Linked DNA regions of Pelodiscus sinensis. The protein of the gene in region 1 interacts with the protein of each later gene in a biochemical or structural test. Links are inferred from orthologs where the notes say so. Each region holds a gene or a part of one and is shown in the gene's direction. Other genes may lie near its edges.

The links. The genes of interacting proteins can lie anywhere in the genome.
Region 2: the proteins of CFH (region 1) and serum amyloid P-component-like form a complex in vitro, tested with the Homo sapiens proteins (12 studies listed by BioGRID and IntAct, with this or other methods). The link is inferred for Pelodiscus sinensis from reciprocal best matches to the Homo sapiens genes CFH and CRP.

Annotation. Positions count from the first base shown.
Region 1 is NC_134719.1:47,251,053-47,258,599, reverse strand, and holds the start of CFH (complement factor H), read left to right. Parts: upstream 1-4,526; 5' UTR 4,527-4,643; coding exon 4,644-4,701; intron 4,702-7,547. UniProt on the Homo sapiens protein: Glycoprotein that plays an essential role in maintaining a well-balanced immune response by modulating complement activation.
Region 2 is NC_134734.1:12,777,784-12,785,663, forward strand, and holds the start of serum amyloid P-component-like, read left to right. Parts: upstream 1-4,864; 5' UTR 4,865-5,210; intron 5,211-7,880. UniProt on the Homo sapiens protein: Displays several functions associated with host defense: it promotes agglutination, bacterial capsular swelling, phagocytosis and complement fixation through its calcium-dependent binding to phosphorylcholine.

The DNA of each region.
Region 1 (7,547 bases):
AAGGGTGTGTCTAGACTACATGCCTCCTTCGACAGAGGCATGTAGATTAGCCAGATCGGAAGAGGGAAATGAAGCCGCGATTAAAATAATCGCGGCTTCATTTAAATTTAAATGGCTGCCCCGATCTGCCGATCAGCTGTTTGTCGGCAGATCGGGGCAGTCTGGACGCGATGCGCCGACAAAGAAGCCTTTCTTCATCGGCACAGGTAAACCTGGTTTCACGAGGCTTACCTGTGCCGATGAAGAAAGGCTTCTTTGTCGGCGCGTCGCGTCCAGACTGCCCCGATCTGCCGACAAACAGCTGATCGGCAGATCGGGGCAGCCATTTAAATTTAAATGAAGCCGCGATTATTTTAATCGCGGCTTCATTTCCCTCTTCCGATCTGGCTAATCTACATGCCTCCGTCGAAGGAGGCATGTAGTCTAGACACACCCCAAATGTAGCTATCACCTTTCACATTAACCAGGGGATCATTTTACCAATGTTCTACATCAAACCCCACAAGGACCAGCAAGAAATGATCTTGTACATTATGGATGTACGACAAGCAGTAGCATTCTATATAGACACAACTCACAGTGGCTATTTGTCTCCATAGCGGAATACTCAAAGGGACACACAACAATTTTCCAAGTGGACCTCCACATGCATACACATGTGATACTATATTTCAGAGAGTGTATTTCCCATGGGTTTAAGACATCATTCCACCCAAGCCATGGAAACCTCGATTACTTTTCTCTCGTTATCTTGCATGACATCTGCCAGACATCTATATGGCCATCAGAACACACCTTTGCAAAACACTATGCAATCACTTCTGGGCCCATTCCCAACACAGCCATGGGCCTAACAATGTTATCCTCTGTTCTCAACATGTGACTATAAATCACACCTTCCATGTGGAGTACTGTTTGGTAGTCACCTACAGTGGAGTATCCACAGGGACACTACTTGAAGAAGTTACTGATCTTGTACAGTAATGATGATTCTTCAAGATGTGTGACCCTGTGGATGCTACACAACTCACACTCCTCTCCTCTACATCTTCCACTCAGAGATATAGAAGGAACAGAGGAGTGTCAGGTCCCACACATGATATATTAAGGCACGAATGCCATGAAAAAGCAACAGTATGAAAAAGCAACAGTATGGGTTTGTTTCAACCTTGAGGGTATGTCTACACTACCCCCCTACTTCGAACTAGGGGGGTAATGTATGCATACCGAACTTGCTAATGAAGCCTGGGATTTGAATTTCCCGGGCTTCATTAGCATAAAGACGGCGCCGCCATTTTTAAAAGCCGGCTAGTGCGAACCCCGTGCCGCGCGGCTACACGCGGCACGGGCTAGATAGTTCGGAATAGCTTGCTAGTCCGAACTATCTGTACGCTGTGGGCCATATTCCATATTAACTATTACTAAATGTAATTAAAAGTATACAGAATGTTTTACTGCTATTTTTTCACATAAACCAGGGGTGGGCAATATTTTTGGGGAGGGGAGGTCACTCCAAGAATTTGATAAGTGGTTGAGGGCTGCACTCTTCCATTATACTAATGGAGGAGGTGCACGGGTCTGGGATGCAGTTTGGGTGCAGAAGGGAGCTTGGGGTAAGGCATTGGGGTGTGTTATCTGGGAGGGAGTTTGGGTGAAGGTGGGGATTGTGACCTGAGGAAGCAAAATAGGATGCAGGGTCAGGGAGGGTAGAGGTGCAGAGGTTTGGGTTGTGACCTAGGATAGGGAATAGGGGTGCAGGGCAGTGTTCCCTTTAAGCTGCACAGCTTCACAGGTGATTAATCATCCCCTCCCAGTCAGTCAGCACGATGCAAGGAGCCCTGAGCCTCTGTATGGGCAGGGCTGATTAAACACCTGTGAAGCTGTGCTGCTACATAGCTTAGAGGGAACACTGGTAGGGTCCAGATTTGGTATGGTCTGTTGTTAGTATGAAGATCAAAAGGCAACAGTGGCAGACTGCAGCAAGTACAGGTCTGAATGTGATCACATGCAGGCTAAATTAGGTTATGTCTACACTATAAAGTTACTTCGAACTAACAGCCGTTAGTTCGAATTAACTTTCATAGGCGCTACACATGCAAACCGCTAGTTTGAACTTAATTTGAACTAGTGGAGCACTTAATTCAAACTAGCTAAACCTCATTCTAGGAGGACTAATGCCTAGTTCGAATTAAGTAGTTTGAATTAAGGGCTGTGTAGCCACTTAATTCGAAATAGTTGGAGGCTAGCCCTTCCCAGGTTGCCCTGGTGGCCACTCTGGGCCAAACCAGGGAAACTCTTCTGTCCCCCTCCCAGCACCGGAGGCGTTAAAGGGGCACGGTCTGGCTACAGTGCCCGTGCCAGGTGCAAGCCAGCCAGCACCCAGCCAGCAGACCCTGCATCTGGTACGGCATGAGCCAGCCACCTGCTGTCACCCAGCCCTCCGCCTCTTCCCAGGACCAGGCTGACAGTTCCCAGGAGCCTGCCCGGGGTCGCAAGAGGTGGGCACCCACCTGGTCTAGTGAGGAGATCGTGTACCTCATCCAGGTTTGGGTTGAGACCTCCAGCGTCCACCGTCTCCGCACTAGGCACAGGAAAGGGGCTGTCTAGGGCAGGATAGCTGCCAGCCTGGCCACCAAAGGCCACAGGCGAACCCAGGAGCAGGTTTGCATGAAAATCAAGTTGGTCCAGCGAGACCCCCAACCCTGAGCCCTGAGCTTAGAACATAAGACCATAAGAACAGCCATACTGGGTCAGACCTTTTGACGACTGCGGCAAACACCAGGTACCACAGAGGGAATGGACCGAAGACAATGACCATGCCATTTGTCTCATGCCATCCATCTCCAGCCTTCCACAAACAGAGGCTAGGGACACCATTTCTACCCCCTGGCTAATACCACTCCTTGGACCCAACCTCCATGACTTTATCTCACTTCTCTTTAAACTCTGTTCTAGTTCTAGCCTTCACAGCCTCCTGCAGCAAGGAGTTCCACAGGTTTACTATTTGCTTTGTGAAGAAGAACTTTCTGTTATTAGTTTGAAGCCTGCTACCCGTTCATTTCATTTGGTGTCCTCTAGTCCTTCTATTATGGGAACTAATGAAGAACTTTTCTTTATGCACCCTCTCCACACCACTCATGATTTTATAGACCTCTATCATATCCCCCCTCTGTCTCCTCTTTTCTAAGCTGAAAAGTCCCAGTCTCATTAGCTTCTCTTCATATGGGACCTGTTCCAAACCCCTAATCATTTTAGTTGCCCTTTTCTGAACCTTTTCCAAAGAGAGTTTCCATTTTTGACCACACGTGTCCTTTATTTTTTACATCAGGAAAGGGCGCTAGGGAGGGGTAAGTGGAAGGAGGTGAGGGAGGAATGGGGCACGAGCCCCCGATGGGGAGGACCTGGGCTCTGCGGGCTCCTCGGGGTAGAAGCTCTCCTGCAGGGCCTCCTGGATCCTGACAGCTCCCCGATTGACTCCCCCCAGATGGCAGTCTGCAGCAAGTGTAGCCAGGCTGACGGCCGAGTGCTGCGATGTGCCGAGTGTAGGCACTCAGGGCACTCCAAGACAGGACTGCTTTGCTGTCCCTCATCAAGGTAGACCTGCAGGCAGGGACCCTGAAAACTGTCTGTCTGGGGTGGGGGTCTGGTCCCTTTAAGAACAGCCCTCGGGTAGCCTGAGGCAGCCTTAACTTCGGTTCAGGGTCCACTCAATGTGGACATGCTATTTCGAATTAGCAAAATGCTAATTCGAATTAGTTTTTAGGTCTAGATGCACTAATTCGCATTAGCTTAGTTCAAATTAACTAATTTGAATTAAGTTAGTTTGAATTAGTGCTGTAGTGTAGACATATCCTTAGTCAATTCCACCTGCTCTAGATCTCTCCTGTCAACAACTGACATCACATGCTATCCTGTTTGCACTGCTGATGAAATTACTCTGCCTTTTGTTACTGGATGTGCAGTAGTAACACAATCCCTGAGAATTCTCTACTTTCCACAAAATTACTGAACTGGATCTTTTTCACCATCTCTTTTTGTTCATTCTATTTCCCCTCCATATAGCTGTTTCTGCAAGGATCTAATACTATATTTCTTAGAGGTTTAGAATGACCTCAGTGTAATTGCTAGGGGTTGCAATGTGACTGTTGGTACCTGATCCTACTTTCAGTGTGATTTAGTGAAAGTTTTGTCCTTGACTTCTGTGAATCAGACCTTAGTTCCTATTACAATACACAAAATGCATTTAACAAATTAATTATATAAAACACAAAGAAAAGATCATTGTAAAATAAACTTTAGATTAATTTCAGGAACTTTATTTTTATTTGATTTTCTGTGAAGTAGGAGGAATGGTGATGACTCTTAGCTATGAAGTGGGTAGTAAAAAGCAAACAGAACTCTGAAAGGACAGAGCCAACTAATACAAACAAGGCTCTTTTTTTCTGCAAAGATTGCATAATGTATGTGTGTAGAAAGAAAGAGACTATTGTGTGTTGCAAGAAGATTAGGGAAGTGTTGCTGAAGTCAGAGAATAAAATCTTTGCAAGGTCAGCTCCAGGAACAGTTAGTGTGAGACACTCCAGGCCAACAGAAAGAACCACTTATCATTGTAAATGTGTCTGGTTTGCCTCTGAGGCACTGAGATGATATTGCTGGGATATACTGTTTTGCTCCTGGTATGGACATCTACTGCACAAAAAGGTAAGGTTATTAAAAAGATTGATCTGTTTCCTCCTACTACTACATTAGGGGATAGTCTCAGACAAGTGGCCACTAAAATATTTTATAAATATAAATAAAACTTTGATTATAGCTTTTTTCAGTAGTATCTCAGAGGAAAAACTAATTCTCACTGTGTTGCAATACCTAGTATGAAGTATCTTATACTAAGTGTGATGTCAAGTCTGCCTTTAGCTACATTTTGCTTCTTGTGCCCAGGCTTTTCTAATTATTACTGTGTATAGAAACTACAGCCGAGAAGTCCATTTTATATGTCCTCTGACTATGTTAATATATTTTGTAATTGTTGAAAGCTAACTTCTAATAAATATGAATAAAAATCACCTGTAGAATGAATAATTTAAAATGTGTGTGTGTGTATGTGTTGTAAAAAGGTCTTTCAGTGAGGGGATTTTATTGTATTTATACAAGTTATTGTATTGATGGGAATAAGTGTTTTCAAAAGGCTTATTAAAAATACTGAGTGTATTACTTGATATTAGGGAAATAAACTTCTTATCCATAGAAGTTTATGTATAAAAAGTTGTTTATTCTTTAGGTGCTAGTTGCGCACTCCCTGTATTTCTTCAACAGCCCTCTTGACATTTGCTGTAACAACAGATCAGTTTCTTATGCCGTAAGGCCAACAAACTATCTTTTTTAAAATTGTCAAATAGTTTCCTATGTAATGGTAGAGGGTTTATATATTGTCTAATTAGTTTGTATAATAGTTTAATATTTAGTATGCCTTCTAGGGGCAGCTGTACCTGTACTTGCCATGCCCTATCTCAATGATCACTTTTTATTTTTAATTACAAATTACTTACCCAGTCCAAAGCCTTTACTCATCTAAGCAATTTCAGTCACTACGTGTGGGCCCTAACAGCTGGGTAAAGACTGCAGGATTGGGCCTAAATATTTTTCAGATACCCTTTTCTCTTTCAGAATATTTCAGTGGCACAGATAGAAATTTAACTGGAAAGTTAATAGGAAATATTAATTTGTAGCTATTGCTATTTTAATTTAAAATACATAATTATTTATTAAAATGTTTAAATAATTTACACGCTTTTTACTAAGGTCTCAATTGTTTTCAAAGCAGTGTAATATTCAAGTTTGAAAGAACCAAAATGAGTGAAATTTGGCCTCCTTTTTTACACTTATGTAACATTCCTCAAATAAGTGTAATTGCAAGGACATGTAAATGAGGCAGCATTAGATCCAGCATGATTGATATTACTGTATATTCACTGTTGCAAATCAGGGGTAAATCTGTTTTCTACAGTGGAAAGATTCCAGAGCTACAATAATGTAAATGACAGAACAATTTGTCTCAAAGCCTTTTACTAAGATGATTTTAAAACAAAAGTGTCAGCCATCCATATAATTGACACAATTAGCAAAGAACAGATTGTATCTTTTAAAAAAAAGCTAATGGTCTGCACTTCCCAGAATTTATTTTCTGCTTTTTTTACATATATTTTTAAAATCATGTCTCAGAGGGGTAGCTGTGTTAGTCTGTAACTTTAAAAATGAGTGGTCCTATGGCAGCTCAGAGACTAGCGAATATATATATGATCATGAGCTTTCATGGATAAAAAGGGATGAGTTGGAGGGAAGTGAGTCTTGCCCATGAAAAGTTCATGATCCAATATATGCTAATCTCTAAGCCCTGGTCTGCATTTGGGAGTTATTTCAAAATAAGTCCCTTTATTTTGAAATAACAAGTGGAGCATCCACATTACCAAGCCCATTATTTTGAAATAACAAGCTGGTTATTTTGAAATAATAACTCCTGCTATCCACAAGGAAAAATGCTTATTTTGAAATTGCAGTAGTGTGGACACTTCACTGTGGCTATTTCGAAATAACTGCTCCCCAGAGACATTCAATGTAATTACTCCTCAGTGCTTCCTGGGGCTCTAAATTGAGGTAGTGTATCTATATAAAGGGAGCCTGCTTTGGACTAATCTGGAGACTTCCCTTTAATGTGGACATGCTATTTCAAAATAGTTATTTCGGGAGTTATTCTTTTGCAATAAGTTATTTTGAAACTATTTCCTAGTGTAGATGTGCCCTAAGGTTTTACATGACAACTTGTTGTTTTAAAATCATGGTTAATAGAGTTCTTCGTTGATTTATAAATAGGTAAATGTGATGGATAAAATCCTAGACCCAGTGAAGTCAAGGGCAAAACTTCCATTAATTTCAAGGATCCAGGATTTCATTCAATAAGTATAAACTTGGAGTTTAGATTCCTTCCTTCCCTGCAGTTTCTGTCAGTGTAAATTAGAAGTAATTCCATTTACATTAATGGAATTGCACCAGTTTGGGAGTCAAATATTAGACTGTAGAACTTTATTCTGAATCAGTTACATGTCTTTCCTCCTTACCTTATGGAGGTTATTTTGTATGATACTTCTCTTTAAAATGTGGTGCATATCTTAACAGAAAAATATAAGCTGCCTACAAAAGTATGTATATTGTTCTGCTGGCATTGATACAGTCATGAATGCCAAAATGTGCAAAAATAAATTTACCATGAAGTGAAATTCCCTGGATGTAAACCGATTCTTTAGGAATACGCTCAAAAAAAAAATGGAATGTGGCTCTGAATATATTGGTGACATCAGCTAAATCCAAAACAAAAATTTCACTGTAGATGTCTGAAAATGGGTAGAAATTCAGGCTCTGAGATCCGCCCTTCTTGTGGGGCATTAGAGCCCTGGCTCCAGTCTGAGAATGAACATATACTCACTGTACTCTTTGACCCATCACTCGAGTCAGTCATTCTGGGACAACTACAGCTGTCCTGAGAGTCTTTTATT
Region 2 (7,880 bases), on another chromosome or scaffold:
CTTATCTCTGGACTTCAGAGAATTTCCTTATCAAATGGAAGAACTTCTTCTCCTATGACTTCCTGATCAGATTTCCTTTCAAGTAAAGTATTGCCCAGTCCTTCCCATTTCATCTGTTCTTGGTATCACCGGGTGGGAGGAGGACAGGGGAGGGGTGGTAAGGTGCCACATTACCCAGGAGATGGGAATGAGGGAGCCCATTACACAGGGGAGTGGGACAGCTGGTACATTACATGGGGGAAGAGGACAGGGTGATGGATGAGTTACACAGTAGACTTGCAGGTATAGCAGGTGGGGTCTTCTGACCCATCACCTCCATCTGTCTTGCTCACTGGCCGATCACCCCTGTGATATTCTGCACTCTTTGGGTATGTCTAGACTATGCTGCATTTTCGAAAGAGGACATTCAAATTCCGAGGGAATTTACATATCTTCTTCCAATCTCACTTTCAAAAGTGGGTCTTTTGAAAGCGAAAGTAGTCTGGATGCATTTTTTCAGAACCCCCCCCCCTTTTTGAAAAATGTGTAAACCTCATTTTTTAAGGAAGAGCAGTTTTTCAAAAAGGGGGGGGGCGGGCGGTCTGAAAAAACCCACATCCAGACTACTTTCACTTTCGAAAGACCTGCTTTCGAAAGTGAGATCAGAAGAAGATATGCAAATTCCACGGGAATTTGAACATCCTCTTTCGAAAAATGCAGTGTAGTCTAGACATAGCCTATGGGTGCATCTACACAGCAGGGCTTAACTTGAAATAAACTACGCAAATTGAGCTATATCAATTGTGTAGCTTATTTCAAAATAGGAAGTGACTACACAGCACTTATTTCAAAATAGAGCTCTCTTCCTCTGACTTCCCTTACTCCTCGTACAATGAGGGTTACAGGAGTCAGAATAAGAAGTCCTCCAGCTTGACAGGATTTTGACATTATTTCGAAATAACTGCCTGCTGTGTAGACACAGACTAAGTTATTTTGCAATAATGCTAATTATTTCAAAATAATGTTGTTGTGTAGCTGTACCCTATATGTGCCATAGTGACAAGATTACGACATAATTATGACACATCTTATGCAAAATATGTCAGGTCAGGTGTCAATGGAAATGTTATGATTTCCTAAATAGGATTATCCTGTTTGTATGCATATAGCATTTTAGTTTCTGAAGTTATGAATATTAACTGTGCATCTACATTTCCAATGTGTTTGCTCCTGGGTAACTCCCACAACTCAATTTACATCCAGCCTAGCTAATGTGTTGTGAAGGGAATATTCAAGGTAATGAGCCATCAAGTAAACAATGGGCCAGGGGAAAAATGTATCCTCACTAGCGGATGCTTCGGCCCGCATATGGAGAATGCTGCCATGACTCAAAGCATGCAAGGGCATGTGACTAGACCATGTGATCCTCTACTCCATTTTAATGCATGTACTTTTCCACAAACTGATTTGGGGACTTGGCTTGAAACAAAGAAGTTCCCTCCACATGGAAGGAGCTATAAAAAGGGGGAGTGACATCACCATGGGACCATACTCCCCCTACATCATACCTGAAAACACCTGAGGAACAAAGACAAAACTGGGGAAGAATGTTCCAAGCAGGAAAGAAGGAAGCCTGATTATGCTTGGAAGCCTGGTAGACTGTACTATCTGACAGGGTGAGACCCTGCTTGATTCAAACCCTATCTAGATCTTGATTCAGACACTATTCTAGATCCAGATTTTTATTCAGACCCTATCTAGATATAGATCTTGATTCAGATCCTATCTAGGCTTAGACAGTATTTTTGTTTATTTCTTAGTTAATCTGCTCTGGTACCTACACCCACCACCAATCACTTAAAATCTCTCTTTCCATAATTAATAACTCTGTTTTATATTTTTATAGACAAATGTTTGTTTTACTGGAAGTGCAAATGGGGCTAGTGCATTGTCCTCTCCACATTGAGGGAGGGGCGGACTGAGTAATAATCTTCACTTGTCAGATTTTTGGCCAGGGCAAGACGGTACCGCTCTGGGGTCATAGGCTTTGGACCTGGGGGAAGAACTTTTGTGCAACTAACCATAGCTGGGTGTGTCCCTACCTGTGTAAAGCAGGACCAAGAGCTGTCTGCAGCTTGTCAGTGCAGCACAGTGTGAGAGGGCATCTGGGTGGTGAATCACAAAGCTCAGCAGTACCCCAGTACCACGTTGCACCCCAGTGGCACAGCCCATCACAACCCTATCTCAGGTGACCAGTTAGCAAACAAGAAAAATCAGGACTTTTTTTTTCCAGGGGTGGGGATATAGCTGTGTATGTAAGACAAAGTCTCTAAAATCAGGGCACCTGGTCACTCTGTGTCCATCTACCATTTCTGACACAACTTGCCACCCTAACTACTTGTGTTGCAAGCTGTGCCCGGCCTTTCCTGTGACTCGAAGGCAGGGATGGGGAACTTTTTTTGGGTCGGAGGCCATTGACCGATAGAAAAATGTCAAGGGCAGCACACAAGTGAAAAGTTTTTTTTGTTTGTTTTTTGTTTAAAACCCTAACTGATGTGTCCCCATCTGGGAAGGAGAAAGACACTCCTCACATTCCCCTTCCACACCAGAGTCTAGGGGGACTCAGCCTAGTCGATTTTGTGTGCTCCCGCCCTGAGGTGGGGCAGTGAGGAGGCTGGAGTGCCTGTGCAGGCTTCCCAATGCTGGGGAGGCCCCTGAGCTGTGGGGAGCCATATCTGGGCAAGCTGGGGTCCGAATGTGGCCCCTGGGGCCTGAGGTTCTCCACCCCTGCTGTACGGTTACACAGTTTACTCCTTGGGTTGCCACCTGGCTCACTGGCTGGTTTTTGTACTGCCTTGCTGGTTAGATTTAATGTGCCTTCCTTGTGCACTTGTGACATATCAGAGCACTCTACAATGCACATCTCCATAGCTGGACTGTGTTGAGGTAAGGTATGAAAAATGGTAAGATAATATAAAACTATACCATCCATCTGGCTGTCCGTTCATCCATGGGTGTGGACTAATTAGCTCTGGTCAGCAACTGGACTCTTTAGCCACTGACAGGTGCATGGCCAGTGGTCCAGCTTTTCAACCTACTTTTGAGTCACCCACATGCAAACTTTTCATTTCAGGGATGATCCCCGAGTAAAGGGAAGTGCGGGGCTAGGAGGGCTGGTCTGGGGCACAGCTGCATGGGTGGGGGGAGGTGGGAGGACTGGGACAGGGACAGGTAATTGTGGTAATTGTGCACCTGGAAATGGCTGGCATGTCCCTCCACCCCCTGAGAAAGACAGAGCAGGGGGTCTCCACAAGGGGCTACTGAGGACCTGCACATCCTGGGGTATGTTTCATCATTTTTGAGATCAGGCTGTTAACAACGAGGCTACGTCTACGCTGCATCATTTTGTCAGCAGAGGAAATGCGAATGAAGTGCTCATTAGCATTTCTCGCGTTGTCATTTGCACAGTCTCTCCCTATCCTTTTTGCAGAAGAGGTTTTTGTGGAAAAATACGCAGTGTAGATGGGCCCATTTTGCACAAAAAAAATCCCCTTTTGCTCAAGAACCCTTATTCCTCAAAAAAGGAGATATACAGGATCTTCCACAAAATGGATCAGAAGAGATTATGCAAATGACAGTGTGAGAAATACTAAAGAGCACTGCTAATGATGCAGCGTAGACGTACCCTCAGAGCCCTGCCCTGGATGCTGCTTCTGGCTGTCAGCGCTCTCCCCCATCCTGGGGTGTTGTGGGACTGTCCCACTTTGCTCCCTCCCCCTCCCCCAAGTGCCTTTTCCTGGTTAAGGGGCAGTTTGTCTGAGGCAGTTTGAAGCCCCCAAAAACCCAGTGGCTTTAGGACCTGGCATGTGGGGTTACCAAGCCACTCAGATTTTACCCCTGTATCCCCAGGTGCAGCCAGGCCAAACCCATGTGGCCCTATGACCCGCTTTAGCCTCTGGAAAAGTTATGCTTAAACGAAGCACACGAGATCTTTTATGGGGGAAAAGGCAATATGCCACATTTATTGAGAATACAACCATTGCATATGCTTTTCAATCACTCACACACAAACATATACACACACACACACACACACACACACACACACACAATCTTGCCAGACGATGTCATAGTTACCAGTCCAGAGTCCGTATCCATCTAGTGGCCAGCAAGATTGAACACAGGGGGAAGCAGGGCCTTTGTCAGTCGATCGATCCGATGCTCCTCTGGATTTGGTGTTGGCAAGGTGAATCCAACGTTCCATAGCAAAGCACCTTGCTTTTATAATTTTTTTCTCTTGTTGAAATCCATGGATACCGCTCTGACAGCTTGTGACCGGAATGTTACCTTGTTGATGTCAATCATTCCCAAACCTCTCTCTAAGGTTCATCCTATAATCAATCTTCCTTTCAGGGAGCTTGCTCCGCTTTAAGGTCAGCAATCTGCCAATTATTCAATCTTCTTGTATACACCGATGGTTATAGATGGCTTCTCTGCAGCCAGGTTGTCTCGTGCTCTGGCCTTGCCCATGCTCACTTACTCCCCTTCTTCGGCCATCTGGTTCTAAAGCCATATAACTTTTCAGCTTATCTTGACACATTCACATTCCCTTTCATAAACAAAAACTTTCCAAGGTTACAGATCTTCATGGCAAAACAAAAGCATTGTAAATTAAACAATTAAGGCTTGGCCTTCAACATTAGCAGAATTCCTCTAATCTCATTAACATAGCCACAATATCCAAAACAGTCTTTCTACCTTAGAACATTTACTAAACTTCAGAACAAAGAAAATAGACCTTCAACTGAAAGGACTTAATTTGTAAAATATTAAATGTTTATTAATATATATATATATATATGCCTTATATTGCTATATTATTGCTACATTACTACTATAATGGATCTGGGGAACAGTCAGCCTGACTTGGATATCTGGCAAGCTAAGAATATAAGAACGGCCACACTGGGTCAGACCAAAGGTCCATCTAGCCCAGGATCCTGTCTGCTGACAGTGGCTCCAGGTGCTCCGCAGAAGAGGGCAGTCACTGGGACCGGCTCCCGAAGGGCTCGGAGCTGGGCGTGGGGTAACGTCTCCCCCGGGAAGCCCAGAGCCCCGACGCAGACCCCCGGAGACGGGGGGGTCGAAGACTCTCACAACCGTGGGCTACCGATGGGCCTGGACCCCACTACAGAGGGCGGACTCCTCCTTTGCCGGGTGACCGAGTCACGGTAAGCTGCGAGGACCCCACGGGAAGGGCAACGGGATCTGTGGGGGGGAGGAAGCAGCCCGGGGCAGGGCCCTTTTGGTGCCCGTGAGTGGATGTGTTTCGGGAGGGCATCCCACGTCTACCACACAGGGAGCAAGCAGACCCCTGTGCTTAGGGCCCCGGGCTGGGACCCGGTGGAGAGGGTGGGCCCGGGTCCCCCTCCTCTCCCGCCACCATTGGGATCGCGGGGCGGACAAAGCCCCGCACAGAGGGACAGGCAACACCTGGGTTCGGCTGAGCGGGGTGATTGCACTCAAAGACTCTGAGCTGGACTAGGCTCCGGAACCAACGGACCAGAATCCATCGACAGGGTTCGCCGAACTCTCCTCTTGAGTGGGAGGGGGTGATCGCACCCCCCGACGTGGTCACACTTGATTTCTTTCTTTGGTAGGGTAACTGGTTTGGTGGACTGGGAAAATGTGGTGAACAAAACATACCTGGACATTAGCAAGTCTTTTGACACAGTCTCACATGACATTCTCATAAGTAAGCTGGAGAAATGTGGACTCGGTAGAACTACCATTAAATAGGTACATAATTGATTAAACAAGGGCAAATAGAGAGTATGAACGGAAAAATGCTGGATTTGAAGAAGGTCTCAGGTGGAGTTCCCCGGGGATCTGTTCTGGATCCAGTGTTATTTAACATCTTTATTTATGACCTGGATGTAGGCCTAGGGTAAATCTACACTGCACGCTTATTTCAAAATAAGCTATTCTGGAGGAAATACTCCAAAATAGCTTATTTCAAAATAGCCTGTCTACGCTACAGAGAAACCTCAAAATTAGTCCAAAGAGGCTCCCCTAATCTGGATGTGCTACCTTGATTTAGAGCCCCAGGAGGCACTGGGGAGTAATTACTTAGAATGGCCCTGGGATGGAGCTATTTTGAAATAGCAGCAGTGGAGCATCCACACTACTGCTATTCTGAAGTAGCTGTTTCGGGACAGGTGTTATTACTGATGGAATGAGGTTTACAGATGTCGGAATAAGCTGTCCGTTATTTCAAATGTATTTCAAAATAACGGAATTGCTGTGTAGATGCTCACATGGCTATTTTGGAAGAATGGCCATTATTCCAAAACTAGCCAATTAGCCCGTCATAAGACGGGATTTTCAGGTCTCTCCTCCACGTCAGTCTTCTCTCCTGAGCCTCCAGTCTCTTGCTCTGTCTCTCTCTTTCTCGTTCTCTCTCTCTCTCCTCCTACTGCCCCCCCCCTCAGCTCTCCTCCACTTCCTGCCTCTCTCTCCGTCTCTCTCTTTCTCTTCTCCCCCTCCTGCCTCTCACTCTCCCTTTCTCTTCTCTCCCCTCTGTCTCTCCCCCCCTCAGCTCTCCTTCCCCTCCTGCCTCTCTCTCTGTCTCTCTCTTTCACTTCTCCTCCCCCTCCTGCCTCTCACTCAGGGGACCTCGGAGCCCAAATGGCCATTTGGGCTACGCACTCCCCGTGCTGCATGCTCCCACATGGCAGTCTGGCTGAGCAGCGCAGAAGTCAGCCGAGTGCCACGGCGGGAGGCGAAGCAGGGGTGGGGCCATGAGGCTGGATCGGAGGAGGGGGGACAGAGGAAGGGGGGCAGGAAGCAGACCTGGATGGGGGAGTGCAGCCGCTGGCGGCAAGCGGCCGTTTGGGGTCCGAGCTCCCCCGCCGAGGCCCAGCTGAGCGGCGCAGCGCTCAGCCGAGCCACCTCGGAGGGAGGGGAAGGGGGGCGGGGCGCTAACACACACGGCCAGGGGGCGTGGCCGTGTACATCAGCATTACAGACTCACAGACACTGGGCTACTATAGATATGATATGATATGATAATGCTGCTGTGTAGATACACACTGATTAAATTTGCAGATGACACAAAGGACAGAGTTAAAATTCAAAGGGCTCTTGGTAAATTGTCGAGCTGGGCTATAGACAACAACATGAAATTCCACAAAGATAAACATAAAGTGCTATGCTTAAGGAGGAAAAACCAAATGCAGCCAGAGGGGAGAACTGGATTGGCAGCAGCACAGCAGAAAAGAATCTGGGAGTTGGAGCCGATCATAACCTCAAAGTGAGTCAGCTGCAGGATGCTGCTGTTGCAAAAAAAGCCTGTGCAGTTTTCGGTTGTATTAACAGAGGCATAGGGAAGTTACAGGTGGTACAAGTGACGCTCTAGTCAGCCGTGGCTTGGCCTCTGCTGGAGTATTGTGTCCTGTTTCAGTCCCTAATGTATAGAAAGGATGTGAAGAAACTGGAAAGGATCCCAGAGGCGAGCGACGAGGCTGATCAAAGGGCTGGAGCGCAGCCATCTGAGCAAAGGCCGGAGGAATAGGGTATGCTTAGTTTGGAAAAGAGGAGATTAAGGGGAGATATGACAGCCGTCTCTTGATACTTAAAAGGCTGCCATACAACAAATAGAGAAAAGTTCTCTCTTGCCATAGAGGGCAGGACAAGAGGCAATGGGTCCAAACGACAGCGTGGTAGATTGAGATGAAAAGAAATGAGAAACTTGTGAACAATAAGAACAGTAGGAAAATGGAGCAGGCTGCCTAGGGAGGTTGCAGAAGTGTCTTCTCTGGAGGTTTTCAAAAGCAGGCTGGAGAGCCATCTGTCTTGAATGGTTTATTTAGACACAGGGGCTGCGTCTAGACTGGCATGAT